4 linked regions of the Caenorhabditis elegans genome follow. The protein of the gene in region 4 purifies or fractionates together with the protein of the main gene of each other region. This does not show direct contact. Each region holds a gene or a part of one and is shown on either strand. Other genes may lie near its edges.

Region 1 (6,851 bases), on a different chromosome or scaffold from region 4:
AATAATAATTCAGTAAGGTATAATTTAGTGATTTTTAAATTGTACAGACTACATTTAAAGATACAGATTGTGTTGATGTTCTTAAAAACACGGTCTTAAAGGCGGACTAACGGTTCGGACGATTTTGAACGTATAAATCCGAATTGGGCTGGAATGAATAAATTTTGAAAAAAAATACACTGATTTTCGCTAAAATCTCAATTTTCGGCCACTTTTCCGTGTCGCAGCGGTCCGAAGTTGTCTTTTTTGGAATTATCCTCCTGCATCTTTTGGTAATTTTTTATCATCACATTTCATTGATTTAAACCCGATAGGTAACCAAAAATCATCAAAATTGGTTACCTGTCGGCTTTAAATGTGCCTTAATCAATGAAATTGGATGAGATAAACTACCAAAATATGCAATAAAGGGCGATGATTCCAAAAAAGTCAACTACGTCCCCCGCTGCGACACGGAAAAGTTGCCAAAAATCGAGATTTTAGCTAAAATCAGTGTATTTTTTTTTCAAAATTTTGAACCGCCATAAAAAAATTTTGAAAAATTTATCAGAAGTTTCCTTACGAAACTCGTTTATTTGAGCTCATTTTGGGTTTGAACGTTCAAAATCATCCAAACCGTTAGTCCTCCTTCAAGACACGGAATATTAACAAAACAAAAAGCACAATATTTTACCTCTAGAACTTCTACTTGGCCTCCGATAGTAAAACAGTTTGGCTTATCGGCTTGTGGTTCAAGTTTCGGGCCTCTCCTATCATTTCCAGACTCGAATTCTAACTTCTTTGTCCATTTACCACCTGAAAACCAAATAAGCTTTGGTTTAAAATCTCGTAAACCTACTTTTGCATGGTTGATGTTTGATGAGTTCAAGAGTTACACTCAGATCTTTTCCCAACTCAACGTTTTCCAACGCGTTGGAAATGGAAACGAAAAGACACGATGAAGCTAAGAAAACGACCAACATCTGCGACTGAAACCGATGCGCAAATGAAGGTGTCATGGCTTATGAAGTAAGCGACGAGGACGTGCCCTTCTTTCACACCCCTTTTCAGCTGGATTTTAGAATAGTTTACAGTGACGGTGGGGGTGAAAGGGGAATATAGATATGAATTGTACAAATGTGTAATAAAAGTCTGACAGCCATCAAAACCACTTTTCTCGTTTTTTCTTTCTTTTTCGTGTTACTTTTACCTCAATGTGAAATGATTGTCGGATGGCGTTTCGAGGTCATGAAGGTTATGAGATTCTGAAAAGATGAAGAGATTAAAAGAAAAGGAAAGGGGAAAAAAGTAAAAAAAAAGGAAAATAATGAATCAAAAGCCTTATGTCCTTCAACTAGTAGTGAGAACAAATGCAATAAAGTTTTACAGATGTGTTACATAAATATCACTTTATGATCTCTAACCAACAACATATATAGTTCCAGTTTTCCTTACTATTAGTAACTTTGCAAGATTTTTCTGTAGAATTCGTGTACTGTTGTATACACAAGAATAAAAATTCTAGAAGTAAAGGGTATACAGAATACTTTGAACAAAATCCCAGAAACATTTTGAGGCTAGCAAAATATTGAGGTTGTATTGAATAAAATGCATATTGAAGAAATGTAAAAAAACATACTCAAAAGGATACCAGACAAAACTGTTGTTTTTTACACAACGAGTCTTTGAGCACAGTATCACCATAAAGATTGACTGTTATTTATTAAATGTCAAGATCAATTTGCTTATCTAATTCATAATTTTTATTGTGTTTATTTCATAATTCACAAAAAATGAACCCGCATAAACGAAATGAATAAACATGAAGTTATCATCGTTGTTCATCCAAATATATTTTCTTATTTCTTCTTGGCTTGAATGTCGCTCAAGCTAATGGTTCCGTAAAGTTTGTGACATCCAACGAAAACTGACTGCTTTTTGATAATTTGATTGAATGGCAGATTCCAATAAGTTTGAGAGTCAACTGGCTCATCAGCGCCAAGTTTGCGAAGTTCACGGATGCGAGATTCTAGTTTTCGTTGAGAGCTGAAATTATTTCATTTTTCTATTTGTTTAAAAATTTTCTACTCGTGAAAAATAGTGTTATTTTTCATATAGCTGTAATGTATGTGACATATATGTCTCGAATATAGTGAATGGTTGTTAGATGGTATATGAAACTGTAAATCTGGCTAAAACCTATTTAATTTTCAGAACTTACACTAGAAGAGGTTTAATATCCTTGTCGAACAAATAAACGGTCACAAATAGACTAAGCTTTGGTGGACCATTTCCTTCCTGAAACACACTTTTTCTTTCAATAATTATTTTCATTTTGTCAAACCTGAGTAGTAGCAGCTAAAATGTGATCTAACGCGTCTTCTGAAATTCCCTGCCATTCCAACAATGCAGCTAATTTCGGAAGGCAGAAACGGAGTTCAACATTATCATATTCTCCTTTCTAAAAATAGTGTTATTGACTGCATCGTAAATTTTTTTTAACGATGTTGCTCACTTTTAATGGCTCACATCCTGCTGGTTTGCCGTTCACAACAAGTTGAGCTCCGAGAATTTTCGTGAGAGAGTCCAAAGAATCACATGGCCGGCAGTAGAGACTGAAACAGCAGTGTTTACGTCATTTTTTGGAAACAACAAAACAACAAATTTTCAAGTTCGAAAATTTAAATTTCGTAATCATCGAAATACAACTAAATCTTGTTGTTTGAAGTTATAACATAACGACAAATTATGATAGCGTAGTACGTGGAGAGATGGCCGAGCGGTCTAAGGCGCTGGTTTAAGGCACCAGTCCCTTCGGGGGCGTGGGTTCGAATCCCACTCTCTTCAGTTCTTTTTTTTTAATTTATTTTGCAGGTTAAACACTTATGTATGAAATTGTTATAGTTATACTTTTTGTTTTAAGAGTGACCTCTAACTTAAAACTTTTAGGTACTTCACAGCTGTTCATCTATCATTAACTGCTCAAAAGGCTTTTTTTTCATTTCCTAATGTTTTTTCTAGCTCTAGAATCTTGATGATTTCCCTAATATTTCTGTCAATAACTCATTACCATGATCCAACACCTCCACAACCAGTGTCCGGATTGGCATCCCTGCACACTTCCGGTGGTCTTTGAGTGTCACCAGTGGTCGACACGGACAAGTAGATCAACAACTCGTCGCTCACATCCTCATGAATTTTCACTTTTCCCTAAAGAAAATGAATTATTATTATTATTGTAATAACGTCAATCATCAAGCATTGTTATTGTTTTTCAAAAATCAAAATAAAACACTCTTGGGGGCTAACTCACACTAATTGCATAGCACCCTTTCTGTTCAGTTGACTTGAGTAGCGCTCCACTATCCGAGTGGCCACCCTGGAACTCGATTTTGCGGTTCCAGTGAGAACCTGTAACACGTAAAGTATTAAAAAAGTGACAACGATAGTTTAATAATTACTTTTTCTCCATGCACAACTTTGATGTCTATGAAGGTTTAAGTTCAGATACTGAGTCGATGCAAATCCAAACAAAATTGCCAGTAATATCAGGCAGTTTGTAATCATGACAAATCTGTAAGATACCGTTTATGTAAAAATTTACAGAAAGTTACAAGAACAGTATAGAAAAAGTCACAGAAGTCACTGAATTCAAATAGTTCCATCATCGAAACATCTTCATATCTAATATTTGAATCAATCTTAGTTTAGCATTTAATGCAAATGCGGCAAGAAAGTAGCTGTGAAAAAGAAAAATCGTCAAATGGGGCAAAACGATACGAATGGAAGGAACCTGTTACGTAAGCTTAGAGATCTGTCTAAGCATGAAAAAAGAGAATCGGGTATGATATGCATTGTTGAAGGACCTAGACTTTCAATCAAAACGGGACTATGGCAGAGACCACAAGGAAAAATAAACTGAAATAAGGAAGCGAAATGTTCTACGATGACTGACCAGGAGAACATTGAAGATTCCAATGGTCTTTGATTTAGTGTTCACCTCGTCGTCGTCCGCCCTAATTTTTCAACTTGTCATAAAATTTGATTCCTCTGGAATTTCACAAAAGAAAACTAGTTACGAGAACAAGAACTAATGTGGAACTTTTAATGGTGTGTACTAGGTGTGTTTGAGAAGGGAAATATTTGTGACGCTTTACAAAATCAGTGTTCATGTGACTATCTTTTCAAATCGACTTCAAAATGTTGTTTGTAAGAATGGAGACCTAAATGAATGATGGAGTTTGTGGGCAAAAAATCTCAAAAACTACAGAAACAATGTCAGAAATAACGCAACAGTTATTTGTAATTTTATAATACTTCGGTTCTCAACTATAGAATATTTGGGAAACTTAGTGGAAAAATAATACCGCCGGCATATAGAATAACTCTTAAACTACTTTGGACGAATTAATGTTTTAACAGTGGTCGCAAGAGCATTCGAGCTAATGAAGTTTGGCAAACAAAGATTTTTTTGTGGACTACAAATTATGATAGGCATAATACCATTAAGCCCAATAGTGGCTGGGTGAACCTAGGGGGTGAGGCCGGACTTGAACTTATGACCTCCAGATTTCTAGCGGTCACCACTACCGACTGAGCTATCCGCCCCCCGAAATACAATTTTGTAAAGCAAAATTAAAAAATATATCTTTTCATTTTTTCACGTATCAATCATGTTTGCGCAATTTAAAAAATGAACTTTAATGAAAAAAAATCATAAACTTATATAATCTTGCAAAAACCCCTTGATAAGAAAAATGAGTCATTGAACGATTAAAACATAAATAAAAATTTCCACTAGCTTTAACCAAAAGTCCACACTTTTTCATCTTGCGAATACACAGTTTTCACACCCGTCTTTATAATCATTTTATACACTTTCTGTAATGCTGGCAATTCGCTTGAGTGCACTTGAATAGCAAAGGTTCACGCTTGGACAGAAAAGTGTGACGAAAGATATTGTGGAAGGGCAAATGAATGGTGGGCCGACACGCAGGGCAAAAAACGAATAATACTAAGAAATTGTGGAAGACGATAAAGACTGCGAATTGGTCGGAAACGAGAATTTGCCAAGAATCCCCTCATCTCCTTTCACCAACTAACCGCGGATAATAGATAATAGGTGTGAATCATTATTATTCGATCAGGAAACGATGCGCTATGCAAAGTGTTAGCTGGTCTGCTTGCGTTACATTCAGGTATACAATTTTTGCAGGAAATCACGCACATACACATCTGAATGTCACTTTATGTACAGTGTTTTAGACAAAACCAGTTTTAATACTGCGCTTGTGATAGTTGTACCAAATTCTGAATTTGTGAATGGCCAGGTATACATACTAGAGCTTAAAACTGGACTAAATTTTATTTGATCAAAACTGATTAGCAAAATTTTATTACAAATTAAAAGGTTTATTTCACGGTTCATTTAAAGGCGTAGAAATAAATTTGGGCACACATCAACCTACTGAACATGCATTTTAATCAATGGAATAATTGTGCACTAAAATAGTTTTATGACAAAATAACCTTGACAATATTTTAGAAAACTCCAAGATGTAACAAGTGTTAAGTTTAAGGAAGTCCAATGCAAAACCTTATATAAAGGATTAGGCACGTCTTGCAATTATAAAAAAGTATCCCACTGTTGAGCATCTCTTCTGACATTTCAAAAAAAAATTTAACAAAAAAAGGTGTAACCAGACTTGAATTTCCTTTATTAGTAACTGCTCGATTATAAATTTAAATAATCGGGACGTGGTTGAAACGCTTTAATTTTTTAAGCTATACTCGGTTGACAGAAAATAGACTGTTTGTATGATGGAAACTTTGTATCACAGCTCTAACAAAACAGCTTTATTTCACCAAAAGTACAAGGACTGGAGGAAAGAAAAATTGTATCAACTATCTCATTTCTGCACCTTCAACGCCCCCAAAGCCGGCTGCTGAGTTGAAGTTTTGGCCGGATTCCTGCTTTCGCCACCCGCTCCATTTTCAGATTGTCATCAGAAAACACTTCCTCATTTTCAGTCTCATGTTGATTCAACGACTGTCTTGAAGTCTTGGCCAATATTGTGGTCTGCAATCTGATTCGATGAAATCTTGGAAACAAGAATCATAAGTGAACAGGAAGGAGTGGATTCCAAGTAATTTGTTTACCGTTTCGAATTTATTCTCATCTTTGATCGTTTTCTCGGATGATTCCACCGGCCACATCACCATGAAATCTTCAGGAATCAGAGGGATGTCCTGAATTAAATTAAATTGAAATAAATGAAATGAGTCAGTGGTTTATTGAAAACACACTACATTTGATTGCACCTGCTAACTATAAGTTTTAAAATTATTTAGGGATGACAAATTTCCTCGTGATTCTATCTTTGCCAAAAATTAACAATTCCACCTGCATTAAACTCGTGGCCAAAACTTCAAAACATTAGGATTTCTCAAGTGTATCAATAGAATAGTGTTGTTCCAAAAAAAAAAACGCTTTATGTAAATTCAAAAAAAACACAGAAGTGAAGAAGTAAAATTTCCTTGACTCACCCTTTCAAAATTCCTCAGCCCTGAAGCATGTGCCCGTTTGCCCCAAAGAATACTGGACCTGCGGAGCTCCCCGTTTATAGCTCGTTTGTGCGTGATGAACCTCTGAATTTAGATTTTAAAATAAAAAATCTGACATCCATGAAAGCTTACATCAAAATGCGCCATGTCGTCACCACCCCCAATGCCTCCAAACTTCCTCATTTTCCAATCCTAAACATTTTGCGAATAATTCATAAGTTTGACTATTTTTGGTGTCCCTACCTGATTGGCCATGGTGACCCCAGCGAAGAAGAAAGCAATCAGAATAAAGAAGGTGTACTGCATGT
Region 2 (10,034 bases), on a different chromosome or scaffold from region 4:
GCCTATAATTAAAACCGCAAGAGAATTAATCAATTTTATGTCATTTTTTCCCTTCCCTTTGAAGGTCACTCATATGATGTTGATCTGGTTATAAATTTGTGGTATTCAAAGTTCGGAGCAAATTCCCTGATTGAACTTTCAACTTAATAATCAGAAATTTAGGAGTCCTCATCTGCCCATTGTATTTCCTTCATCTACTGTGCCCTTGCCATTATTGTGATTGCTTTCAATGCCTTTATGTATTACAATGGGATCAGAAACAAGGTAAAGCATAGTTATTTTGATTCCAATGTGAAATTTTAACCCGTAAATGTTTTCAGTTTATCCTATACGTCTCGGCAGTAATGGGTGGAATTGTGCTGACAAGTCTCATGATGCACATTGGTATCATCCGCCAGCAGCCATTTTTCTGCATTCCATTCGTTGTTTTAAGAGTGAGTTTTTGAAGAAATTAAAAGTGTTCGTAGCGACTCAAAATTGTTTTCATAAAACTTGTACAAGTCGCGTACTCGGATCACTTTGAAAATATTTTCTGCTGGTCTTGTCTTTAGTGGCTCAAAATTTTATTTCGTGGATTAATAATAAATCACACGTGGTGTCAGGCTATCCCATTTCGGTTTGATCTACGTAGATCTACGAGAATTTCTGGAATGTAGACGCAAACTTCTCATTTTTGGGGAAAATTTCCCGCATGTTTTGTAGATTAATTCGTAATGGGACAGCCTGACGCCACGTGAAAGCGGCTCAAATCGTTCCCACGAGGGGTTACGAACATTCATACGTCAATGTATTTTAAAAGCAATTCTGCAACCAATTTCCGTTTTCAGACTCTTGAAACATTTGTCAGTGCCGTCTTCTTGACGGCTTTTACCTATGCGCTTATCAAGCCGGAAAGTGAGCTCTTCATGTTTTTCCTGCAGTGCACAAAAATGGGTGCACAACTTGTTTCTACACATTTCAAGCTGGATTTGGTAGATGGTAAGTGATTGTTGAAAACTTGATCGGAAACTGTACTTAAATCTAAATTTTGATTCGCACATAAAAATATCAAAAAATCAAGAAGTAATTTCCCACTAAATCATTATAAAATAAATAAGAAGTATCATGTCAATTGGCCAGTTTTTCGTAAACCCAAAGCAAGCAGAAATACACTGTCAACGTTTAGGAGTTTAGGAGCACAAGTAAATCACTAAATTTCAATTATTTTCAATCGAGCTCAAACACTGGACTTATCGATGCACCATAACCTAAATTTTTTAAATGAAGTGCAAAGGCAACACTTTATTTGATAAAAAAGAAGAATGCAAAGCAGTTCCATTTCACATGGTAAATTTTTCTAGTATTCAAGTAAACTTTATTTCCAGCCACGTTCCAATTGTGCATTGTCGGCTGGTGCCTCTCACTAACATTCCTCTCAGTCTCCGTCTACGTCTGCCGTGTGGCATTCCACTGCACAATGTCAATCGCTGACCAAGTTCGGTACAAACGTTATCAGCAACACGTTGGCACGTCCCAGGCACGGTTTGCTGGAGACGAGTTTTATTGTGCGTAAGGGACCAGGAGTAATATTTGAATTCTGGTGTAATATTTTGAGCATCTCGAAATAATAATTCATATTATATTAATTCTAATGCTTTCCGTCACATTGTCAAATACTGGTCTGATAAATGTATTATTTTTTCTTCCAATAAATTTCATAATATAATATTTTAGCAGAGTATGTTTGAAGATCGCCAAAAAGGAGAAAAATACGAGGAAAAATATGAAAATATCCGTTTCTGAAAAAACCTATCTATCTGTATCTGAAAATATTTCGGGCTCAATTTTCAGATATTCAGAGTTGAGTTTTGCTTCTGAAATTTTTATAGTGCCTAAATCTCAGAGTTTAAATTTACTGAAAAACGAAGATTTATTTTTTTATTGGTTTGAAGTTCCAGAATTTTTTTTGCAATTTACAAATTGCAAGCTTCACCTCTAACACCTACAAAAATAAAAATAAAAACACCCCCCTTTTCCATATGTTTTGAATTCAAACTGAGAGAAAATAAAACTTTTATCCAAAAGCATATCAAGTACAATTTGATACTCTGAATAAATTAACGGATGATTTTACCAAGTATGACAAGTTGACTGTTTAGAAATAAACCATATTGAGAAATGTAGATATAAGGTAAAAAAAACTTGTGTATTATAGGCACGCATTTTGAAAGTAAAACTAAATTATTTTAACTTTTCAGGCTAAAAAAGGTTTCTCTTAAACCTGAAAATCACATTTAAAAAGCGGTACACTTTTTTACAGCAATTTCCAAATTAAATTAAGTACCTATAATACACATGCATCATTAGAAACATGTGTAAAGAAGTGGGGTTCAACTTTCGAAAACCGAGAGAGGATGAAAGAGCAATCTAGAAATCGAAAATCGAGCTCATTGCTTTACTTAAAAATTCAGAACAAGAAGAAAAAAGGTTAACAATACACAAACTCGCGACACAACTCCACTGGAGGAAGTTTGCTCTTCCTTCGCACTCGATGACTCATCCAGTTCCTTCTCAAGATCACTGTCAGACGGCATGTCGTCTGGTTTTTCAGTGGCTTCTGGCTCCTCCGGCACCGATTCTGGCTTATCCTTCTCCTCTGGGGCTGGTGTCTGAAAATGTTAAATTCATTGTGATTTTGAGCCGTACAATTAGAAGACGTTATCTAGCTCTACAAAGTTCACCTTTTCGTCAGATCCACAGAAGGCCCCAGTTTTCCCCATATTACAAACACAACGATTGCATTCACACCGCCCATTATTCGAGCACAGTTCCTTCAAAATGTAAAAAGAATGAGGTTTAAAGTGAATTCATGCAATGCAAAGAGGACCTGTGTTATAGAATTTTGAATATGCAAAGTATCCCAGAAAAAAAACACCGCCTAGAAAAAATAAATTTAAGAATGTTAAGGTCAAAAAGTTTTCACAATACAAAATATATATTGTTAGACTTGCAGCCATTTTCTTATCTATTAATGAATTACAATTTATACACTGCTGGATGATTAATTAGAAATATTTTTGAGATGTTTTTCCAAGCTTTTGAACAACATGCAGTATCAATTTGCACTTTTCCAGAAAACTCAAATTCACAGGCAATATCAAGCTAGTTTATTCTTTTAAAGACAAATAAGGTGACATACTAATAAACTAGTTTCCATGCATGCACCCTGGCCTTCACATTTTCAGACCCCCAACCACCTACCCCATTGTCCACACAATTGTTGGATGCCGTCGAGCACGAGCAATCATCACGTTCCCATCCCATCTCGCATCTGGCAAAAAGTACGAATTTGTAAAGCTGATTGTGATGTAACATATACGAATTTCATTGTTCTATTTTTTGTTCACTCAAATGTTATTATTACTACGACCACTTACTTGCAAACTCCGCAGTCGCACACTCCGTTTCCAGAGCACACTTTTCCATTGACCGCCAACGGGCAGCTGTCGTTGTCGCATTGACAAAACTTGCCGGTCACCTATGATGTATAACAAGATATTAAATTTCAAAACAACACAAAATTTTGTATAGTTATTTTTATGAGGGTAACACCACTTACAGTAGGTTTGTTGCATTGGCATTGTCCACACTTGCATTTTCCAGATGCACTGCATACTGGGGAAGATGAATTGCTGAAAAAATACTCGATTGGTTTTGAGAGGACTCTACTTCTGAAGGTTTTTGTCCCCGATATAGAGTTCCAGAACTCCGAAACTATAAGGCTAAGCAAGGCTACCTTAGCACAAAGGATCAAACAGGTCGTCATTGGTATATAATACAACAACCTAACTTTGGTAGTTCGGTTATCAAAATATGGTCAGAACTCGTCATTTTTGCTGCCCCGAGTTCAACGATACAAATCACCCAGCTTGACATTGTTTTGCCAGGAAACATTTATTTGCAAGTAGAGTTCAAAGGATTACAGTTTGATCAGTTTCTGATCTGTACCATTACGGTTCGATCTACAAAAAATGCAAGAATTTGTTGCCCAAACAGGTGACGTCAACACGATCTTAGCCATTCGAAATCAGTTGAGAACTCTGCGTCTCAATTCCCGTATTTTTTTGTAGATCTACGTAAATCAAACCGAAATGAGACACTCTGACACCACGTGCTCTCTCAATATGGTTATTGCATTTAGTGTAAATATTGTCAGTGTAATTCTCAGCAACTTTATGTATTTCCCTAATTCAAAAAAAAGTCAAATTTGGCAGACTAGTCTTTGCTAAAAACATCTAATGTTGACTGTATTATTGAGAACTTTAGTTTCTCACGCTCTGTAATTTCAAAAATCTTACAATCTGCACTTGTCCTCCAATTCAGAAGCCTTGGAAACTCCATGCGAAGCAAGCGGACATTCACATTTATCCCCACCACGTGACTGATCACAAACACATTGTCCGCAGACGAGATGTCCGTTTTGATGGCACAATCGAGAATTGATTTCCTGCGAAAAAAAATATTATTCTTTTTTGATGATTGCCAGTGATTAGGAAACAAAAGAGAAAAGTTTCAAATTTCGTAAAAAGTGCTAAGTGGCTGGGATCATCTTACCGGATGCTTTTCGCATTCACACCCGCAAATCGTGGTGACGTAGAGGCCAGCAATTGTGCGTTGTCTAAGAATACCTACTGATAGTGTAATATCGCCGGTACTGGAACACGAGTTGACGAGAACCTGAAAATTTTGAAATTTCGGAAATAAAACGTGGATCAATATTTAAAATTTGTAGCTTGTCTAGGCGTAGCACTTTTGGTCAGAAAAAAAATTATTAGAACCATGGTTAGTGTCGATCAGCTCTCTGTACTTTTTGCTTACTTGTCTTGTTGGTTAGCGACTTTTTTGCTTTTTTCAGTAGCAGATTTTGGTCTCTGCTAGCGTACCTGAATAGCAAATTTGGTTACTAGGGGTGTGTCTATAAGGTATGCCCTTTTTTATTGTGTTTCACAGGACACGTTTATTCAGCTAGACCAACGCCTCGAAAATTTTCAAAAAAGGCGGGAAAAATATTTGAATTCGCCAAGAGGAATTTCACAACCGCACGTGCAAAAATGTCTACATTTGCGCGTGACGGTGTTTGCACAAATAACACCGAATGGTCAAGCTGAAAACACGTGCGGGGCTTTTTAAAATTAAAATTTGAAAAACCAAGTGATGGGCGACCCTTTGTTAAATTTAATTTGCCTTGCAGCTATGGTAACCCCTCTCAAATTTGGTAATATTGGAAAACTAAATGATTACCATAGAACCTTATATTCGGATTTAGCATGTCAAAAAACCGCTGTCCCCATTTTTTCACAAGTTTACCATCAAAATTGAAAACATACGACCAATAATTCAAAAAGAGGCACCTGCCTAGGTCACTGCCTTCAGATTTTGATAAAAAATTCAATTTTTAGGAGAAATTTATGTTTTCGAAAAATCGAGGCAGATTCCATATCAGTGACGAGCAATCCACAACTTTTTTTTGCCAGTTTTGGAGATCAAACAAAATTTTCAACAAAAAAAGACTCACTTCAATCTTAAATTCAACGATTTGATTATTCTGCACACGGCACGACTTGGTCTCCTTCAACTCTCTGAAATGATTCCTATAAAAATTGTTTTTCGAAATCTTCACCTACCCATCACAGACAATGAAAAATTTCAATTGCAGTGGAGTATCTTTAACATCAGAAGTCTGAATTTCCATAGTCTCGGGTTCGGTGCTCCGTCTGCTTGGGTCAGTTTGATGCAGGTACTTGAAAGAAACGGTGGCGGAGTGAGCTACAAAGTTGCAAATTATCGAAAATGTTACGTATTTAAAAAATAAAACGCAAGTCTTACATGGCATTAGACGGACGGAAACCGCTTGTGGCTGTTGTCGAACAATGGTTTTACCATCATGCTGTTTGGTTTCAAGTGGTAAGTTCTGGAGAAAAAGTTGGAAAATTAGGCTCCAATGGGTATGCCTCCTCGCTGTTTTACTTTCAAAAATTGTAACATTTTAAAGGTTAAACAGCGAGGATCTATACCACTGTAACACTTACTTGTTGAATTTTGACCTGAGCGGTTTGTGGAGAATACACCAAGTGCGGCGTGCATGTCTCATTGGTAAACTTGGATTTCAGCTGGCATCGGTTTGTAAGGGAAGAGTGCTGAAAGTTTTTTTGCGAAACAAAAGTATTCACATATGCACGTGGTGTCAGAGTGTCCCATTTTGGTTTGATCTACATAGATCTACAAAAAATGCAAGAGAAAAGACGCAGACTTCTCAACTGATTTCGCATGGCTAAGAGCTTGCTGACGTAACAGTTGTTTTGACAAAAAATTCCCGCTTGTTTTGTAGATCAAACCATAATAGGACAGCCTGACACCACGTGCATATGCACTTATAATTTTTCTGAATTTGTAACTGCACGATTATTGTAAGCATCATAAAGCATCATAAAGCACCTATAATTTAATTCTTCGGTTTTTTCCAAATAATTACAAACTAAGATAACATTTGTAATGTGATATTCTACAATTTTTCAGGTGCATGTAGAGTGGCGCTTTAAAATTAAAATTTAAAATTAATAAAAATAAAATTTAAATTTAAATTTAAACCCAGTTTTAAAATTTTTGAAAATTTGCAGTTAAAAGGAATGAACTATACAAATAGAAAACGATTTTAAATAATTCTTTAGTTGGAAAATCTTTTGAACTAACTCAAAGTAACTAGCTAGATATCAAATTTTACAAAAAGGTCAGAAATCTAAGACGTCCAACTTTTTAGTACCCCCTCTCAAAACCCCTGCACTTTAAAGTAAACATACGGGATCAATACACCATGCACACTCTGCATGTGCTTTGATACACTGTCCACAGCTCTGCTGGGCATCGAAACTACTGCATAACTGATCTGCGGATTCTTGAGCGGCAACTATTGTCAGTAATGTTATAAAAAAAATCCGGGACTTCATTTTGTGATGATTTCTGAAAAAAAAGAGATGGTGGACTTGAAATTGTGCATATTAAAAATAACATGGTTTTTGAAGTAAAAAAATTAAATTTGGGACTGTAAAATTAACCAGATTTCCAGAATGTTCTCGGTTTCAGAGCAATATAGAAAGGGCGGGAGTAGTAGGGTTTTTTTTTGGCTCAATTTTCATTTTCATCTGAAAAAAAGTTATCGAAATTGGGTCAACTTTACCAGAAAATTACGGTGTTTTCGAAAAAATGTGGAGATTCTAGATGAATTCAAGCCCAGTAATTGAGTTTTTTGGGGATTCAAATGAAAAATTAAAGAACTGAAAAAGTACTCACAATAGAAAAATTCAAAATTAAACGGGCTTTCTCAAATCTAACATTTGGGGTTTGATATTTCAAAACCAGACAACAAAAAATACAAATTATAAATTTACGTAGACATTATTTACAAACTAAACAGTTACATTATAACGTTAAAATAGGTTTAAGCCTCTAAAAAAAGGATAACGAAAGTTATGAAAGTTGTATTCAGAAAGTTGCTCTAATTCTAGAAATCGCGTAAAATCAATATGGAACTGAGATTTTTAGCAATTTCTGGAAGTGAGAAAACTCTTTCAATTTGGAGTTAAATATGAAAATTAAGAATTCAACGAGTTGGTATACGTTTTGAGGTGTTAGGTGGAATCATGAAAATTTCACAAGCTAGAATTTTTAAACGGAATAAAGGAATGAAGTGAAAAACATGAAAAATCAGATAACAACTTTTGAAAAAACTAAACAATAAAGTTAACTAAATGGGGAAAAAAAAAGTAAAAAAAAAGTTCGTGAGGAGGTGGGTTATGCTAAGGGATGCCAAATAACTTGAGAACAGCACATGTCGAGCAAAGTAATAAACAGTGGGGGTAGGAGGGGGGTAAAACCTCGAGTACAGAGGTATGAGATGAAACACAACAGGCGTAGGCATCTGGCGTGCCAGAGCCGTAACTGCCAGCAGCAGCAGACGCTACATTCTGTCATATGGCGTTGAGACTAGGTGCACACCCAAAACCAACTGAACTTTTTTTTTGCTTTGTTTTTTGTTTTGAAGACGGAACTTTGAAACTTCAAAAAATGTTTAGTATCTTCACTATATCAAATGTTTTGATACAAATTTCATTCGCCAAAAAAAAGTCAGTTCCTTCGAAAAAAGAGCATCGGAATGTGTATAAAAGAGCAGCTGTTATGTGACCTAAAGTCCCAAATCCCCCCACTACTCATAAAAACTGTGTGTTTCCGAGTTTCGGCGGATTATAAAATGTGCGAGAAGAGGAGAGAATTGATATTATATCGAAGGTTGTTGTTGTTTTTTTTGCACCGCGGCGGGCAACTTCTGAGAGTTTGCAAGGGGGAGGAGCAAGTTGTATAGTTATCGGGAGAAAAGGTCAGTGCTCGGAGAGCAAATTATATGTGTATCCTGGATTTGATGGGGTTTCCTGAAGACAACTACATTTACAAATTGGTGTACTTGTAAGAAACTTGTGAGAAATGTCTTCGAAATATTTTTATAGTTGAATTGTCTGCGCATCTATCAAGTATCAATTTACAGTAATTAAAACGCCAATAAAACTGACCAACTGGGCTTTCCAGAAGTTTGGATGTTTAAATGTTGATAAAATCTACAAAGTTCAAGCACAACCTGAAACTCAAATTTTCAGTATAAATCCAAGAAATGAGCACAGGTTGTCGTTTTGCAGTAAAAATTATAATTTCACGCGGAAAATAGGCATTTATTTAAAATAAAAAAATATTTCAAAATAATTCAACAGCACGGGTATCTAGACTTCAACTGTTTCGAATTAATCTTCATCTTCCAGTATGACTCACAATGAGTACACCACGCCTTGTTTCGTTTCCACTGTTTTCGCTTTGCCAGGTTGATATGAACTTGGTTCAGAGATTTCGAAGATTTCTGAAAAGTATTTTAGAGTTATTTCCAATTTATAGTGTAAAGGATTTTTTCTAGAGAGCTCTAGTTGCAACGTGGAACAGTTAATTTGAAATTTCTTTTACAATTTCTACTTGAAAATTTAGGAGTGTTTCTATACAGCATAGCAATTCCAAAAAGACCTGAAAACGAGTAAATATTTTTTTCATAAAAAAAAACTGTATATCTGTTTCTAACAAATTTGCATTACTAAAGAATCATTGCCACTGAATTTCACAGTGGAAAAATTTTCACTTTTGAAATATTTCAAAACAGAGGTTAGACTTTAGGTGAATACAATTTTGAAATCTATTTGATTTGAAACTTAAAGCACATTTAACTTATACTATACTATCTTATAGCATATTATATTATACACTATACTGTACTATATGTACTAATTAATAAAATTTACACTGATCAATTTCATTTAATTGCAGTTTATATTTTGGTTTGAAAAAAAAAATCAAATTTAGGTACATACAAATTTGGGTACATAGGTCTCGCCTTAAAAAAACCATAATATTTTCTATTTATTTTTATTTTCAAAATAAAAGATTTATTGCATTTCTAGACAGAAAAATCACCAGCTTATAAATTTGCTCAACGGTGACCCTTGCGAGTTTTAACAATACATATCAGTTTTTTTTCAATTACAAAACTAAAGGCAAAAGCATTTTTAGAAAATTTCAGTTAGCAAGTTTAAAAAAAAAATTCAATTCATGTCGATACACCATGAAACTATGTTGCTAATTTCATGTACCCGAGCAACAATATTTGTTTTCTCCTCTTTGGATCTACTGACTCAATCCCCGCCCGACAAACCACAAAGCATCAAGTAATCAATCACTGTCTATCTCATTCCCCAACTGGTGTACCCAACGTACACAGGGGGTCTTCAACAAAGTATTACAACATATAGTGCACGGAAAGCCCTCGATTGATAAAAAGAAATGCAACACACCAACAAACGGACCTTGGGAAAGTTGAGTTGTCGGGAAGTTGAAAAAGCGATGGAAGAAAAATGAGGTGAGGAGGAGCGGCTTGTTGTGGGGCGGCATATCTGGTTTTCAGAGATTGA
Region 3 (8,336 bases), on a different chromosome or scaffold from region 4:
AGACCGACGAACGAATTGTTGTTTACCAAAAGAAAATGGCACGGAGAAGGAGAGCGAGGAAAAAAAAACGAAAATGGACGAGGAAAGTGGGCACGTGGGGACATTGAGAATTAAGATTGAGTTTTCGATTTCTAGGCGAACAATTTAAAGCGTTTTCATCCCATGATAACATTATAAAACTGAAAACTTGGAGGAGTTGGGTATGGTCAAAAAATCAGTGGATTTTGATCAAATTCATGTTTTAGATCCGTTTTTTTTGCGGATTTCAGAAAAATAAAACATTTGGTAGAATTATTGTTATCTAAAAACTGCTACGTTCAGTGAAGACTGGCGGGAATCAGAAGAGAAGAGATGAACTCGGATAGTTTTTCGATTGATTTTGAACAGAGCCGTTTTACAAAAAAAATTTCAGTTTTAAAACAGTTTTATTGTTAGAAATATTTCTAGAAAGTTTATAGTAGCTTAATTCAAAGAATTCTTTTAATTTCAGATTAAAAATCATGATTTTTCAAGTTTTAATTTTTAATCGTCTGAAACACAGTTTCCAGGTGATGATAATTCAATTTGGAAGTTAAACATTTCAAATACGATTTCTGTCATTTTACGTGCCAACTATCAGATAAATGAAAAATAACGTGACTTTTCAGATATGACCCATGTCATTTTGCAGGGATTATAGTGTAATCGTTCTGTGTTTTTTGTATGATATTTGTGGGCTGAGTTTGAATTCCAGTTTTAGAAAATTGAGATATTTCAGGAGTTGAGATGTTTAGGCACTTCATAAAAAGAAATCACGACAGATAATCTTGTTTCAAGACAATGCCGAATGTTAAAAAGCTAAAATGAATGTAGTGAGATGTGGAAGAATAACCAACTATTGTTAACTTTCCGATATGTTTCCAGAGGTTTTTCTATTATATTTTGTCATTCTCCCACAATTGAAATCGTTTGAAAGCTGTTCTCAATTGATCCAATTCCAGTGTATTTTTTTTCAATGTTTCAGGCGCCATACTACAATGCAAACCAGTGGTGTGCGACAAGTCTCAAAATTTGCCGAGCTCAGCAAAATCGGCAAATTTGCCGTGCTTAACAAACTCCAAAAATTTGATATTTTTTGATGTTCCTTGGAGCAACAAAACTACTGAATTCTGTAATTTCGAAATTTGCCGAGCTCGGCAAATTTGCCGCACAACCCTGATGCATGCAGCATTCTTTTCTTTTTTTTCACATTCTCAGTAACGTTCCCCACATCACAATGAAGCAATGCACCTACGAAACAATTAAAGAATTTTTTCACTTGCAGGTAGCCCTCAAAAGTACGAAAAAAAAATTGAAACCAATGTTTTTCTCGCCAAATAATTTGTTTCATCGGGAAAATAATAACGAAAAAGTTTCACAATTAAATATTATTAGTCACATTTCCAAAATAAATCATCATCAATTGTTTGCGATAACAAAAAAAACTTCGGAATTCTTAACACCTAGAAGCAGCCGTCTGAAAAGTACAAAAGCTATTATATTTATGACAAAAATGACATTTAAAATTGATTCTATATTTTCAGAAGCTGTAAGTTTTTTCCAATTCAAAAACATATAGGATACAAATGATTTCTACTTCAAAGAATTCCAGAACTTCAAACATGGCAGTTTTTGATTTCATCATTGGTTTCGGCTTCATGTTAATTGCTCTTTTTCTCATTTTCCTATACCTCAACAAGGATGGGCACATTTCAATAGCTATCAAAAAAATATTAACGAATTCAAGACAAAAGGCAAAAGATTTGAAGGATGGTTCAACATCCGACCCATCAAAAACGACACCAGCCGCACCTGCATGCTCTCCAGTATCAAATGAGGAAATAACAATACCCTCAGATGTTCAATCGGTGAATAATACTTTATCAGAAATTTCATTGTCAGAAGCTGAAGTTCAAGTTGATGAAGAGAATCCAAATATTGTGAAAATCCATGTAATTTGATGACTGTTCGCATTTCTAGTCATCATTTTGAAATTTAATAAACCAATGCGACATCGTAGTTTACTTCACCGTTGTCAATTTTTGTAGATGTACTGAAAATGTGTTTGAAATTTGTCCAATTGCAAAAATAATAATTAAAAGCTGACAATAATCATCTATTGTTCACAATGACGAAGAAATTCTAAATGCTTCTTACATAGAAGCCGACTGATAAATATAGAACTATAATATTTATGACATGATAGCATCCAAAATTGTTTCTATATTATAAAAAGCTGTAAGTTTTTTGTTCAATTTGATGGGATGGCAGCAAAAAAGTTACAATTCGACGTTAAACCATCACAACCCAGATTGACCTCGCAATGAAATATTTGACCAACTGTAGATTAAAAAACATATACCGTATTATTTCTATTAGTCTTGCACCAACAATGCTTAATTCCGAGATTTTTAGAAGATAATTTAAGTTATTTTCGTAGCATTAAGCCATATTGGTTATCATGATATCTGACTCAAATTTGGTGTCTTGGCTCTATTCTCGTGCAAACACCAAAGTCGCGTTAAAATATTTCATTAACCTAGGGAACTGCCACAAAAGTTGCACACTTTATTATCCACGACAATTGATTTCTTGGCTTTTGTGAATAAAAAATAATGTTTTTCGTAAATGAAAAATTTCAAATGATGGATTTTCCGGAAATTAATAAAAAATTATCAATTTTTCAAAAATTAAAATTTCATATTATCGACTTTTCAAAAAAAAAAAATTAAAACTTCACATTATCGATTTGTCAAAAATTGAAAATGGCAGATTACCGATCATTCAAAATTTATCGATTTTTACAGGAAGATGGAAAGTATGTAACTCTGAAATCTAATGTCGTGGAAAATGGTTTCTACTCGGGAGTCTTATAGATTTTTTCTCATTAATTTATTGATTTTTGTATTGTCATGATCTCAATTTGAAAAAAAGAAAGAAAATGTAATAATTATCGATATATTTTTTTAAATAAAACTGTTTTTGAAATTAAATCTTCACGTGGCCTTTTCGAATTTTGTTATTCTCAACAATAATCGATAATCCGTGAGATTGATAAAATCGATAAATTTCAATTATTTCTCACTTTTATACTCGTCAATACCACATTTATTACTCGCCGCTTATTCACATTACTCCAATGAACTGCAGACAATCAAAGGTGAGGTGCACGAGAAATGCGCCAGCATTTGCTTGCGCAATTCACGATACCGTATATTTTTCAGAAAAATTCTCACATCTGGGACAACGTCTGTACCGCCGGCACTCGTCGTAATCCGTATTACGTCTGCTGTGAGTTTGAGAGTCGGGAAAAACTGATAGTTTTTGTTGTTTCTGTTCAAAAATCGATAATTTCTCAAAAATAAATATTTTGAAAATTTAGAAAATATCGATTTTTCCGTAAAATCTATATTTTACACAAAAATTTTCACCTACGTGTAATTATCGATTTTTGTTCCAGAAAAGAGTTAAAATTAAAATTTTCGAATTATTGATTTTTTTGTTGGTAAAAATAGCATACAGGGTGGGCCAAAAGTATGGTAACACATGAAGCGCTCTTTTACATGAGCTTTTCGCGCGACTGCCACGTCATACGTACATTCTTCTATCGAATACTGATAGCTGAATAAATTTCCTTCAATTTGACTCAAAATTTGTAATGTTTCCCAATAAGGTGCGATCTTTATCACCTCGACAATTTGGCGAACCCTTTCGAAAAAACGGTAATTTGGCACGCGGCACTTCCCACACAAACACACCTCCCACGCACGCCAATAATTTTCAGATGTATGATTTTTATGTTAAATTGAAAGTTAAAGAAGTGAAGAAGCGTTTTTAATTGTTTTTGTAGCATATAAAAATGTTCTGTGTCGACACTGGCGCCTAGCAAGAACCTTTGTATATTTCATGAATTCAACTTTGCGAAATTTACTCAGTTTTTTTGGTTTCGCAAGGCGTAACGACCCACAAAATCATCCGAGCTCAATTTTCTAAAAAAATTCTGGAAAGTCAGGTCAAAACGTCTCGAAAAATACTAAAATAAATTTATCTGAATACTGCTACTCGCCGCTCACATCCATCTTTCTGGCGACTATGCCATTCAAGACTTAACCTACTGCCGCAGTCCATGACAGAAATACCGTGATAGAAAATATTTTGATTTTTGTTTTTAAAGAATCTCTAGACCAAGGGCATTCTTTGAACTATAAAAACTTGTAAGACACTTTATGGATTCCTCAAGAAAAATGTAGAAATCCCGCAGAATGCCGACTTGCGTGCCATAAAGATCGTGATCTCAAAAGTTCTGAAGGCCTGCAGCAATGCGGATGGATATATTTTGAAAATTCAAAACGTTCATCTGGTCAGTATTTTATGGAGAACAAAACTTGTACAAATTGATGTAATAACTCTCTCCACTAGTAAAGTTATAGAGCTGCAAACGTGTTACCATACTTTTGGCCCACCCTGTAATTCCTAAAAATCAATACTTCGAAAATATTTTTGATTTTAAGTAAAAAGCGATATTTTTTCACGTTCTTTTTTTTGATTATCGATTTTATGCAGACGGCACCACCGGCTCCACCACCTCATCACTGTCAATTTTGGAATTTTCACGTGAACAAATCACCGTAGTGTCGCCACGTGTCAAATGTCCCCTCAAGGTGAGAATATTGGAAAAAAATCATTTCAAAATTTGATCGCTGTACAAAATGCCATTTTTAACAACTATCTATCGTCAGATTCCGACCGGAAATGTATTGATTTTTTGATTTTTTGGACTAAAAATCAATAAATCAATATATATTTTTATTTTCAGCAAAAAATTGTGGAAAAACCGAAGAAAAGGAATGTATATGTCACGAACTGGGATCGTGCAGCGGCGGAGCAACCAAAGGCACTTGCCACGTGGATTTATCAGCCATTTGATAAGAGAAAGGTGGGTCGAGAATTGCGCCAAGGCTCTATCATTTTGTTGGCTTGTTGGACATCCTATCAGAAAGACATACCTGAAATTTCAGTTCGATAAGACTATTTTGAGCAGTGTTACCAGGCCTTGAAGTTTCTTATAAGATTAATCGACCGCGTCGCAGGTTGTTTGCTTTGACTAGTTGTAACTTTGCTCCCAGTGGATTGATTTGAAATTTTTTGTGTGGCTAGCTGTGTATTATTACGTACATTCAATTCAAAAAATTTTCAGTACAACAACCGCACGGCATCCGACGCCTTCGACGCCTACCAACACCGCCTGAAACTGAAAAAACTGCCCGAGACAAAGCAAAAAGTCACAAAAACCACCAAAAGACATGTGACTATCAATGAAGCGGCGACTCAAGTCATTCAGGATGTGTGGTGAGTTTGCACTAGAAACGCGCCAAGGCACGAGTTTTGCGTTAAGGCGTTAACAGTAGTATACATACATACATCAGAAATCAATACAGAGAAATCAATACACAGCTCTACGAGCATTTTGAACAATTTTGAACAGTTACGTAGATTTTGAACAGTTACGTAGATTTGAAGTATTGAGAAAAACCGCGACGCAGACTAAAGTTTTGAACCACTGTAACTTTGCTCGCACTGTTCGAAGACTTTCAAAATTTTTTGTGAACGCTCCCAATGTAATTGTTAATATGATGACGTCATCATTGCTCCTTGGCGTATTTTTCGTGCCATGACGCAATTCTTGATCATTAAATTTGAAGCCCTAATTTTCCTAGTTTCAGCCACCTCCAACCGAAATCCTACCAAAAAATTCGCATATCAAATTGTCGAAATGATGAGGTGAAAATCGATAGTTTCTCTGCTAACCGAGTTCCAAAAGACGATGATATTGACGACCTGAACGTGAATGTTCCAGTTGAAGATGATGATGACGTGGAACTCGATGACGTCATCCTTGCTCAAAATCCGGCGTTTTACGGCACAATTGAAGCGGAAAAGTGTGCAGAACGAGTTGCCGCACATCTATCGATGGCCTGTGAAAACATGGAACGTTTGCAATTTGTGACGGAAGCCGTGTATCCACAGAGCGCCGCTCATTTGGTGAGTGATTGCCTAATATGGAAAATAAATATTGATTTTTTTGCAGAAGAAGCTTCAAGAAATCGATGATGACGTCAAGGATTTCAATTGTCAGATGAGACAGCGTCGTGTCAAAGCTTCGAATCCAGGAGTACGTACTTTTAAGTTTCTGTGTGAAATTTCATGGCTGGACCGCGACGCGACACGAAACTCATGAAATTTTTGAAACTTTAGCGTTTTAATTCAGAACATCAAATTAGATGAAAAAAATGAACCACAGAAAATTTCAGAGCTGTAGCCACATTTTGAGCAAAGTTAAGGTGGTTTGAAAGTCCTAGCGACACACGACGCATGTCAAAACTTGCAGTTACCCTAACTTTGCTCTTAGTAGACACAGAGCTCTGAAATTTTTTGAGCGTGCTCCCCATGCAATAGAAAACTTGTTTGCGCAATTTTGGTGCCTTGCAAACACCATAACCGTGTAAAAATATTTTATTATTCCAGGGAACAGTCACAAAAGTTGCACACTTCATTATCCACGGCAATTGATTTTCCTCGATTTTTGCGAATAAAGAATTTATTGATTGGATTTCCAATTTTTTAAACCTTTTTTGTAGTCACCTAACAACCCGGATTTTCAAGTAGATTTTTAACAATTTTCAGGAAAGCGAATAACTGGAAATAATGCCTAAGTGCCTAAGACTAAGCCTAAAAATGAGCCTAAGGCTAAACCAAAAAAAATCCTAAGCCTAAGCCCTGTGACATAAGCCGGCAAAGTGAAGCAAAACGGCTTGTTTTTTGCGCTGTTATGAGCTTCATTCTTATTTGTTAGACCTTGTGTGTCCCCAAGCCAAGCTATTTCGTCGACATGATGATAAAAATTGGTTTTTGATTTAAACGAATTTTTTGACGCCATACTTATTTATTCGAGAAAAAATAAGCATATATAAAATAGGAAATTCAACAGAGAGTCAAACAAATTAAACGCTTTTTCAAACTGAACTTTCAGGAAAAATAGCAATACGTTTTATCTGAAAAGGGTTGTTTGCTATTATATTGTTTTGTTGCAGAGAACTTATTAATAATATTTATTTTTAAAAAAACCATGTTTTTAAAATTGAAACCAGATACCAAAATAAAAAAAAAGAGAAATATAAGCATAATGAAAAGTTAGGAGAATTTCAGCAGTTTCTAGAAGGATTTGTGGAAGTCCATGTGCTGACTGAACCGACGTTTTGGTCGACTTGAATCCCCACTTGCTGGCCTGAAGTCTCCGGCGATTCCTCAGAATTGTTTGATTTATTATCGTGTTTTTTGAAGCTCACGAAACCGAGAAAAGTTAGACAAGCTATGAGTAAAGGGCCGCCAACTAGAATGAGAACGGTAATGATCACCACTAACAGAAATATATCTGAGGCGTCCATTTTTTGGAGAATTCGAAGAAGTGACGAAACAACAAGACTGCCTGCTCTTTTGTACTTTTTTGAAAGTAGTTGATATTGACAAAATGAAATTAGTACGCGTTGTAGTAAACATCTCTGTTGATTCACTGAACGTTGTGATGTTGAAAATGAATCTGTAAATGTCATATATGGAAAGAGTTGTGTTAAAAAAAATTTAAAAAGAAACCATTTTTCATTTTGAAGCCGCCTATCTACCAAGAGGAAAATCAAAAAACATGCAGGTAAAGCAAATATAGAGACAAAAGTGTGCGCCCAGTTTTCGGACGGTGGTTTTGCGACACGCGGAACTGCGATTTATGCTCTTTTCGGTATTAATATTCACGTGCAGCTGGTAAGAAAATAAGATTGTCCCGGTTCTTTGCAGATCCTAAGTTTCTAGGTTTATGCGACTGCAACAGAAGTGGACAGATAAAAATCATCTCAGTACGCCGAAGTAGGTTGCCTTGGATTCAGACATTTCTATACCTGAATGAAATTTTAAAATGTCTTTTAAAACATTGTCAAGTCTTCCCTGACTACTTTACTTCTTGCTATCTTTGCGGTCAATTTTGCTGTGAATTCTCATAAAATTGAAAGTTTATTGAACCGAATTTTTTAAATCCCATCACAAATAATACAATTAAAAACACAATAATTCAATTATAGTCGGTACTCAGCTTGGTAAGCCTCAACAGTGTATATAGTATTCCTTAATCAGGAGAACGCCATGACCATTGTGAAGATGAATGTTACAATGAAAATTATTATAGCGAGAATAAAAACCACATGCAAATATGTAGCAGAATCCATTTCTTCCTGGTGAACTTTTGTTTTCTTGAAGTTCTTTTGTATGAA
Region 4 (5,636 bases):
AAAGTTTCATTTTTAAAAAGTACAATTTTCGAAAAAAATATTTTCCAGGTGATGTCGGATCTCCGTTCAACAGAGAAGCAGAGTGAGCTCGAGAAGCAAGATGAGATCGTTCGCGAGTTGAACAACGCCATGGCTAACCGCGGAAACTGAGTGATCTATCTACATTTGCAGCTCAAAATCTCTCATTTTAATGCTTTATTTGCGAGTTTTGTATATTTATCTACCATAATACCAGCTTGTTTCTTCTTTTAAAACCTTTTTTCATTGCCTTTTCTCGAGTGTAAACTTTTTTTCTAGAATTATTAAAATCTCTTTTCCCACAATTTCTCCTCGCTCCAAAGTGTATGTGCTATGGCTTTTCCACAATTTATTACCAAAATGCCTTGATGTTCCTTCCGAGAAGAGCTTGAGCTTTTCCTGGACCATTTTCGTTCTAGGTGCTCGTTCGACTGTTTTGTATTTTGCAATGTAAATTATCCTCTTTAAGATTACTTTTCATTTCAATTATATTTTCGATGAAAGTATTTTATTCCTTAAATTTAAAAAAAAAGAGAGGGTCTTCATCACCACTTTGAGAAATCTCCAAGGCCTGCTCTTGCAAATTTAGTTTTCTTTGCGGCCTCCAAGGGTACATCTTCCATTTTTCCTTGTCGTTTATTCACAGCTGCGGCCGACTTCATGTACTTGCCGACTCCAGTTCCAACTGCTTCTGGTTTTGTTGCAGTTTCTTTAGCTTTTTTATTTGCTAATGAAGCTGCGTCCTTAGAAGCTGAAAATAGATATCATTAGTTTTAAAATTAGTAATAGAATTAAGAAACTTTTCTTCAAAATCTCTGCTCTCTCAGCTTGAACTTCTTTCTCAGCTTCTTCAAATGGATCCACAAATACTTCAGCTCTCATAATAACAACTGAAACCATCGGAACATCAGTTCCCTCTTCAGTTTCCAACTTTTCAATCGTCGTTAGTGTATCCTGTCCTCCAACAAGTCTCCCAAAAATTGTGTGCTTTCTGTCCAAATACTTGCACGGCCGGAATGTAATGAAGAATTGTGATCCGTTGGTGTTAGAGCCCTTATTAGCCATCGAGAGCACACCTCGAGCATCATGGGAGAAACCGGAGATGAATTCATCTGAGAATGGCTTATCCCAAATTGATTCTCCACCATGTCCTGTACCAGTTGGGTCGCCTCCTTGCAGCTGAAATTTTTAATTATTTTTTGTTATAACTTTAACTATTTTTATAATAAATTTACCATAAAGTTTTTAATTAACCGATGAAATTTGGTGTTATTATAATATCCATTCGAACAATGTGTGATGAAGTTTTCACAGGCCTTCGGAACTTTCGGCGCGAATAATTCCAGATTCAATGGCCCAAAATTTGTAACAAGCCGCACAAAAGCATTTTTCTTAACTCGGCTGTACCGAACTGTATCATTATCCAAAACAGCTGCTTTATTGCTTGTAACTGGAGCCATTACAGTGGATGTGAATCCAGCTGCGACTTTTCCTTGACTATAATGTGCTGCATTGATCTCATCGGCAGTTTCATCAGTTTCTGTGGAGCTCTTCTTTGGGACATATTCCTTATCCAATTGATCAAGAACTGATTTGCAAGCATTATTCATTCGTCGAATGTAGAATTTTGGATCTTTCATTGCATCTTTTTCTTTTTTAATCTCTTCTGACGTCTTTAAATCAAGCTTCACGTGTAGAAACTGCTCCATATTGAATTTTTCCAAATGATTTGGGTCTTGAAGATCAATTATATCAGCTCTTGTGAACGGAACATCGGTTAGAAGATCCTTGAGATGATTTCTTTTTAAATTCAATTCTTGCACGGCTTCATGAGAATAGACGTTTCCGGAAGTAGCGATGGCCAGAATATGACTGTGGTCCGTGAATGTTCTGAATGTAACTGGGCATCGGAACTTTCCATCTTCTCCTTTATCGAATTTCAAGTGGATTAGATCCTTGGCAACCAACGGTTTTCCTGTACACGGGTTTTTGCCATGCTTCTTCAAGTAAGGAACGATAGCACTGAAAATTTTTTAATAAAAAGTAAAAAAAATAAACAGAAATTTACGTTAAATCGAAAATTTCTCCTGATCTTGCGCAAACTGGGTCTTCAAACGGTAGAAGTGACAGCGAGCAATGGTTGATGGGTAACCTTTTGAACTGTGCTCTTTGGAGTCTTGTTCCAGTATCTGAAATATGAAATTAAATCTTGTTTTTATTTATAACTCGTGTTTAAATAAAAACCATCTTTATGTCCTCCAATCGATTTCCATTCAGAAGTGGTCAGATAGAGTTTATCTTTCTGATGTTGCTTTTTTCCCATTTTATCTGAAAATAATACAAATAAATACTAGTTACATTTATGTAGTTATTAAGCTTAATTAAAATGCCGATTGTTAAAAATTGCGAAAACAAATCGGCTCGTAAATCTACACGAAAACCTAGGCCGGCGGCCGCCAGCCACCTCGGGTCTCGCCACGATCACATGTCGATTTACGCGCTCAATTTCATTGACTATTGACGTGGATTATCTTGTTTCTCAATGTTTTTCCTCCATTTAAATTGTTTTTCAGAGATAAATTTTTAATTTTATAGGTAATATTAGCAAAAGAGAGGATTTGCAATAAGATGGCAGACTTTGACACTGTAAGTTTCATTTGCAGCTTATTATTGAAGTTTTTTTTTTTTAACTAAAAAGCGAAATTTCAGAATCCAACTTCTCTGTACAGTATCAAAGGAATTGTGATTCTTGATCAGGATGGAAACCGTGTTCTTGCCAAGGTTTGTCGTTTATTTCACAATTACCATACAAAAAACTCGAAAAAATATCGATTTTCAGTACTACGACCGTACAACCTTTGGAACTGTCAAGGAGCAAAAAGCTTTCGAGAAAAGTCTCTTCTCGAAAACTTCCCGCAACACTTCAGGTTTGGCTGATTTTTTTTTGATGAAAACAATAAAAATTAAACATTTTAAGCCGATATCCTGCTTCTCGACGGAGTGACTTGCTTGTACCGCTCGAACGTTGATCTGTACTTCTACGTGCTCGGATCGACCCGCGAGAATGAGCTTTTCCTCGACGCAACTCTCACCTGTCTCTACGATGCTGTGTCTGTCGTTCTTCGCAAAAACGTCGAGAAGAAGGCTCTCATCGATTCCATGGACACTATCATGCTGATTATTGACGAAATCTGTGATGAAGGGTTATTTTTTTTTATTTCTAAAAGTATTCAACTGATTTAAAATAATTATTACAGAATTATCATGGAAACTGACGCCCAGGCTGTCGTCCAAAGAACCGCTCTCAAATCCGACGAAGTCTCATTCTCCGATCAATCCGTATCACAAATCGGCTTCTCGTTCATGAAATCTGCCAACGAGCAGTTCAAATGGTCTCTTCTCAAGTAAATGGAATTCTATAAATTATTTAATTTAAAATGTGATATTTATAATCTCTCCAATACTCTTTTGTGAATTAAAATGAATAAACCTCGGATAAAATGGTGTTTTCATTGTAAAAATTGTTGATTTTGTGCTGTTTTTGTTGAGTTTTTGGTTCGTTTTCTTAACGCCTAACTATATTTTCAGTTTAAAGCTTAACATTTCCTGCATGAATCTAAATATCTATTTTTCAATTTTAATTTCAGAAAATGCCACGGCCAAAAATTTTGAAACGAGCAACTGTCCAGCCCAGTGCCGCCGTTCCTGTGAAAAAATCGACTCCAGAAAAAGAAGGATCCAGACAGAAAAAGACGAATGGAAAAGAGAATGCTTCTAGAAATTTGCAATCAAATTTAGAAGAAGATTTGGAACAACTGGGCTTCGAGTATGTATCTATTATCCAGATGAATTCTTGAGCAAAACCGGGTCTCGACACGGCAATTTTTGTTGAAAACAAAACGGGGGTGCGTCTATAAGGAGTGCTGTATTATCACAATATGTGTTCTTAAAGGCGCACAGATCTATTCAGGCGGGTCTCTGCGCGGAAAACAGTATCGTAGTATTTTCTTTTTCTTTAAATTTTTCCGGTTTTTTAATAGAATAATAGAAGGAGAACTAAATACAAAAAACGGAGTAATTTCTTGAAAAATGAAAGTAAAAAACTACCATAAAATTTAAAAGTTTTTCGCGCGCCGAGACTCATCTGAATGATTCGGTGCGCCTTTAATAATGGTAGGCCAAAATTTCGTTGCGGAATTTCCATCGATTTTTCATTGTTTTTTGTTAAAATTTTTTTTAAATAAACAAAAAACTAGGATAATTAAAAGCGCATGAATTTTAACGAACAATCGATAAAAATTCCACAGTTTGAAACTACAGTACTCTTTAAAGGCGCACACCCGTTTGTAATTCAAAAAAAATTGTCGTGCCGAGACCGGGAATTTTGGCGCAAAAATTAGAAAATCTTCCATCTAGCTAAAAATAAGTACATTTTCGAAGCAAATCAATCATTTTTCCAGGGATGAAACTGTATCAATGGCTCAATCAGCAATCGAAAATTACTTTATGCAAGGAAAATCGGCGTCAGAACGAATGAATAATGCGAAATCCCGTCGTGGAAGACGTGCTGGAAATGGAAATACTGAAGAAATTGAGGAAGACGATGAGATCAGTAATGCTATCACTGATTTCACAAAATGTGATCTCCCTGGACTTCGAAATTATATTACCAAAAAAGATAACACGGAATTCGAAAAACGATTGGAGCATCTCGCGGATAATGATTTCGGAAAATGGAAGCTTTACCTAGCAGCTGGATTTAATATTCTTTTGCACGGTGTCGGTTCGAAGCGTGATGTTCTCACAGAATTTGAGAATGAGCTATCCGATTATACATATATGAGAGTGGATGCACGGAAAGATGGGCTCAATGTAAAAGTTCTTCTTGGAGCTATCAATGAGAATATGAAGCTGAATTGTAATGTGAAGAGAGGCCAATCTACGATTAGTTGGGCTCGATCTATTCGCAGAAAAATGAATAGCCAACAGTTGATTCTTATCATTGATAATATTGAAGCTCCTGATTGGAGGTGAGGGGAATTCGCTTTTATTTATGTATAAAAAATTAATTTTAATTAATTTCAGAAGTGATCAAGAAGCATTTTGCGAACTTCTTGAGAATCGGGATTCGGTGAAATTGATTGCTACAGTTGATCACATTTACTCGACGTTCATCTGGAATTCGGTGGGTATCTAAAATTTTAATTTTCGAAAAACAGAAAATTATATTTTTTTGTTATTTAAAATTATTTTTTTCTGTAGAAATTTATATATTTTAGTATGTTTTTTGTTCATAAATATAATAAAAATTTGACAGAGAGAAAAATAAGAGAAAATAAGAAAATCTTAAAAAAATCGAATTAATATTTAATCTGAAAACGGCAAAAAATCGAAAAAAAAACAATTTTGAAAAACAGTCAAATTTATGGCAAAAAAATTTTAAAAAAATCGCTACAGTTGATGGCATTTACTCGAATTATAACCCACTAAAAACATTAAATTTTTGAAAATAACGATTTTTAGATTTTTTTTTAGATTTTCCGAAAAATAGCTTTCAAATAAAATAAAATATATTGTAAAAATGTTTAGTCAATTTTCTTTTGAAATTCTCAATTTTT

Evidence for each region.
Region 1: the proteins of copz-1 (region 4) and gmap-2 fractionate together in Caenorhabditis elegans (co-fractionation; one large-scale study listed by BioGRID). This does not show direct contact.
Region 2: the proteins of copz-1 (region 4) and C05D9.3 fractionate together in Caenorhabditis elegans (co-fractionation; one large-scale study listed by BioGRID). This does not show direct contact.
Region 3: the proteins of copz-1 (region 4) and C30G7.3 fractionate together in Caenorhabditis elegans (co-fractionation; one large-scale study listed by BioGRID). This does not show direct contact.

Annotation. Positions count from the first base shown.
Region 1 is NC_003284.9:12,939,714-12,946,564, forward strand, and holds gmap-2 (GM2 Activator Protein family member), read right to left. Parts: upstream 3,554-6,851; 5' UTR 3,547-3,553; coding exon 3,441-3,546; intron 3,391-3,440; coding exon 3,293-3,390; intron 3,190-3,292; coding exon 3,050-3,189; intron 2,827-3,049; exon of another isoform or gene 2,745-2,826; intron 2,595-2,744; coding exon 2,495-2,594; intron 2,441-2,494; coding exon 2,324-2,440; intron 2,278-2,323; coding exon 2,201-2,277; intron 2,026-2,200; coding exon 1,839-2,025; 3' UTR 1,729-1,838; downstream 1-1,728. Other genes in the region: gmap-3 (GM2 Activator Protein family member), read right to left, coding at 674-795, 839-998; nssp-88 (Neuropeptide-Like Protein), read right to left, coding at 5,903-6,058, 6,139-6,228, 6,526-6,627, 6,676-6,735, 6,787-6,849.
Region 2 is NC_003284.9:1,108,865-1,118,898, reverse strand, and holds C05D9.3 (Integrin beta epidermal growth factor-like domain-containing protein), read right to left. Parts: upstream 6,984-10,034; coding exon 6,837-6,983; intron 6,177-6,836; coding exon 6,069-6,176; intron 5,951-6,068; coding exon 5,866-5,950; intron 5,806-5,865; coding exon 5,664-5,805; intron 5,619-5,663; coding exon 5,555-5,618; intron 4,717-5,554; coding exon 4,594-4,716; intron 4,487-4,593; coding exon 4,338-4,486; intron 3,672-4,337; coding exon 3,599-3,671; intron 3,518-3,598; coding exon 3,417-3,517; intron 3,311-3,416; coding exon 3,241-3,310; intron 2,811-3,240; coding exon 2,721-2,810; intron 2,649-2,720; coding exon 2,439-2,648; 3' UTR 2,048-2,438; downstream 1-2,047. Other genes in the region: C05D9.7 (uncharacterized protein), read left to right, coding at 163-264, 321-434, 828-978, 1,365-1,552; C05D9.4 (uncharacterized protein), read right to left, coding at 8,789-8,938, 9,930-10,034.
Region 3 is NC_003283.11:14,940,427-14,948,762, reverse strand, and holds C30G7.3 (MADF domain-containing protein), read left to right. Parts: upstream 1-3,058; 5' UTR 3,059-3,157; coding exon 3,158-3,178; intron 3,179-3,242; coding exon 3,243-3,309; intron 3,310-4,581; coding exon 4,582-4,679; intron 4,680-4,834; coding exon 4,835-4,954; intron 4,955-5,215; coding exon 5,216-5,367; intron 5,368-5,741; coding exon 5,742-6,060; intron 6,061-6,106; coding exon 6,107-6,190; intron 6,191-6,543; coding exon 6,544-6,588; 3' UTR 6,589-6,633; downstream 6,634-8,336. Other genes in the region: C30G7.4 (Matrix-remodeling-associated protein 7), read left to right, coding at 1,641-1,979.
Region 4 is NC_003280.10:10,870,266-10,875,901, forward strand, and holds copz-1 (putative coatomer subunit zeta), read left to right. Parts: upstream 1-2,613; 5' UTR 2,614-2,646; coding exon 2,647-2,664; intron 2,665-2,727; coding exon 2,728-2,799; intron 2,800-2,857; coding exon 2,858-2,945; intron 2,946-2,995; coding exon 2,996-3,221; intron 3,222-3,275; coding exon 3,276-3,426; 3' UTR 3,427-3,531; downstream 3,532-5,636. Other genes in the region: cap-2 (F-actin-capping protein subunit beta), read left to right, coding at 49-150; cyn-4 (Peptidyl-prolyl cis-trans isomerase 4), read right to left, coding at 564-769, 819-1,197, 1,254-2,040, 2,087-2,207, 2,263-2,341; orc-2 (Origin recognition complex subunit 2), read left to right, coding at 3,669-3,844, 4,479-5,048, 5,104-5,203.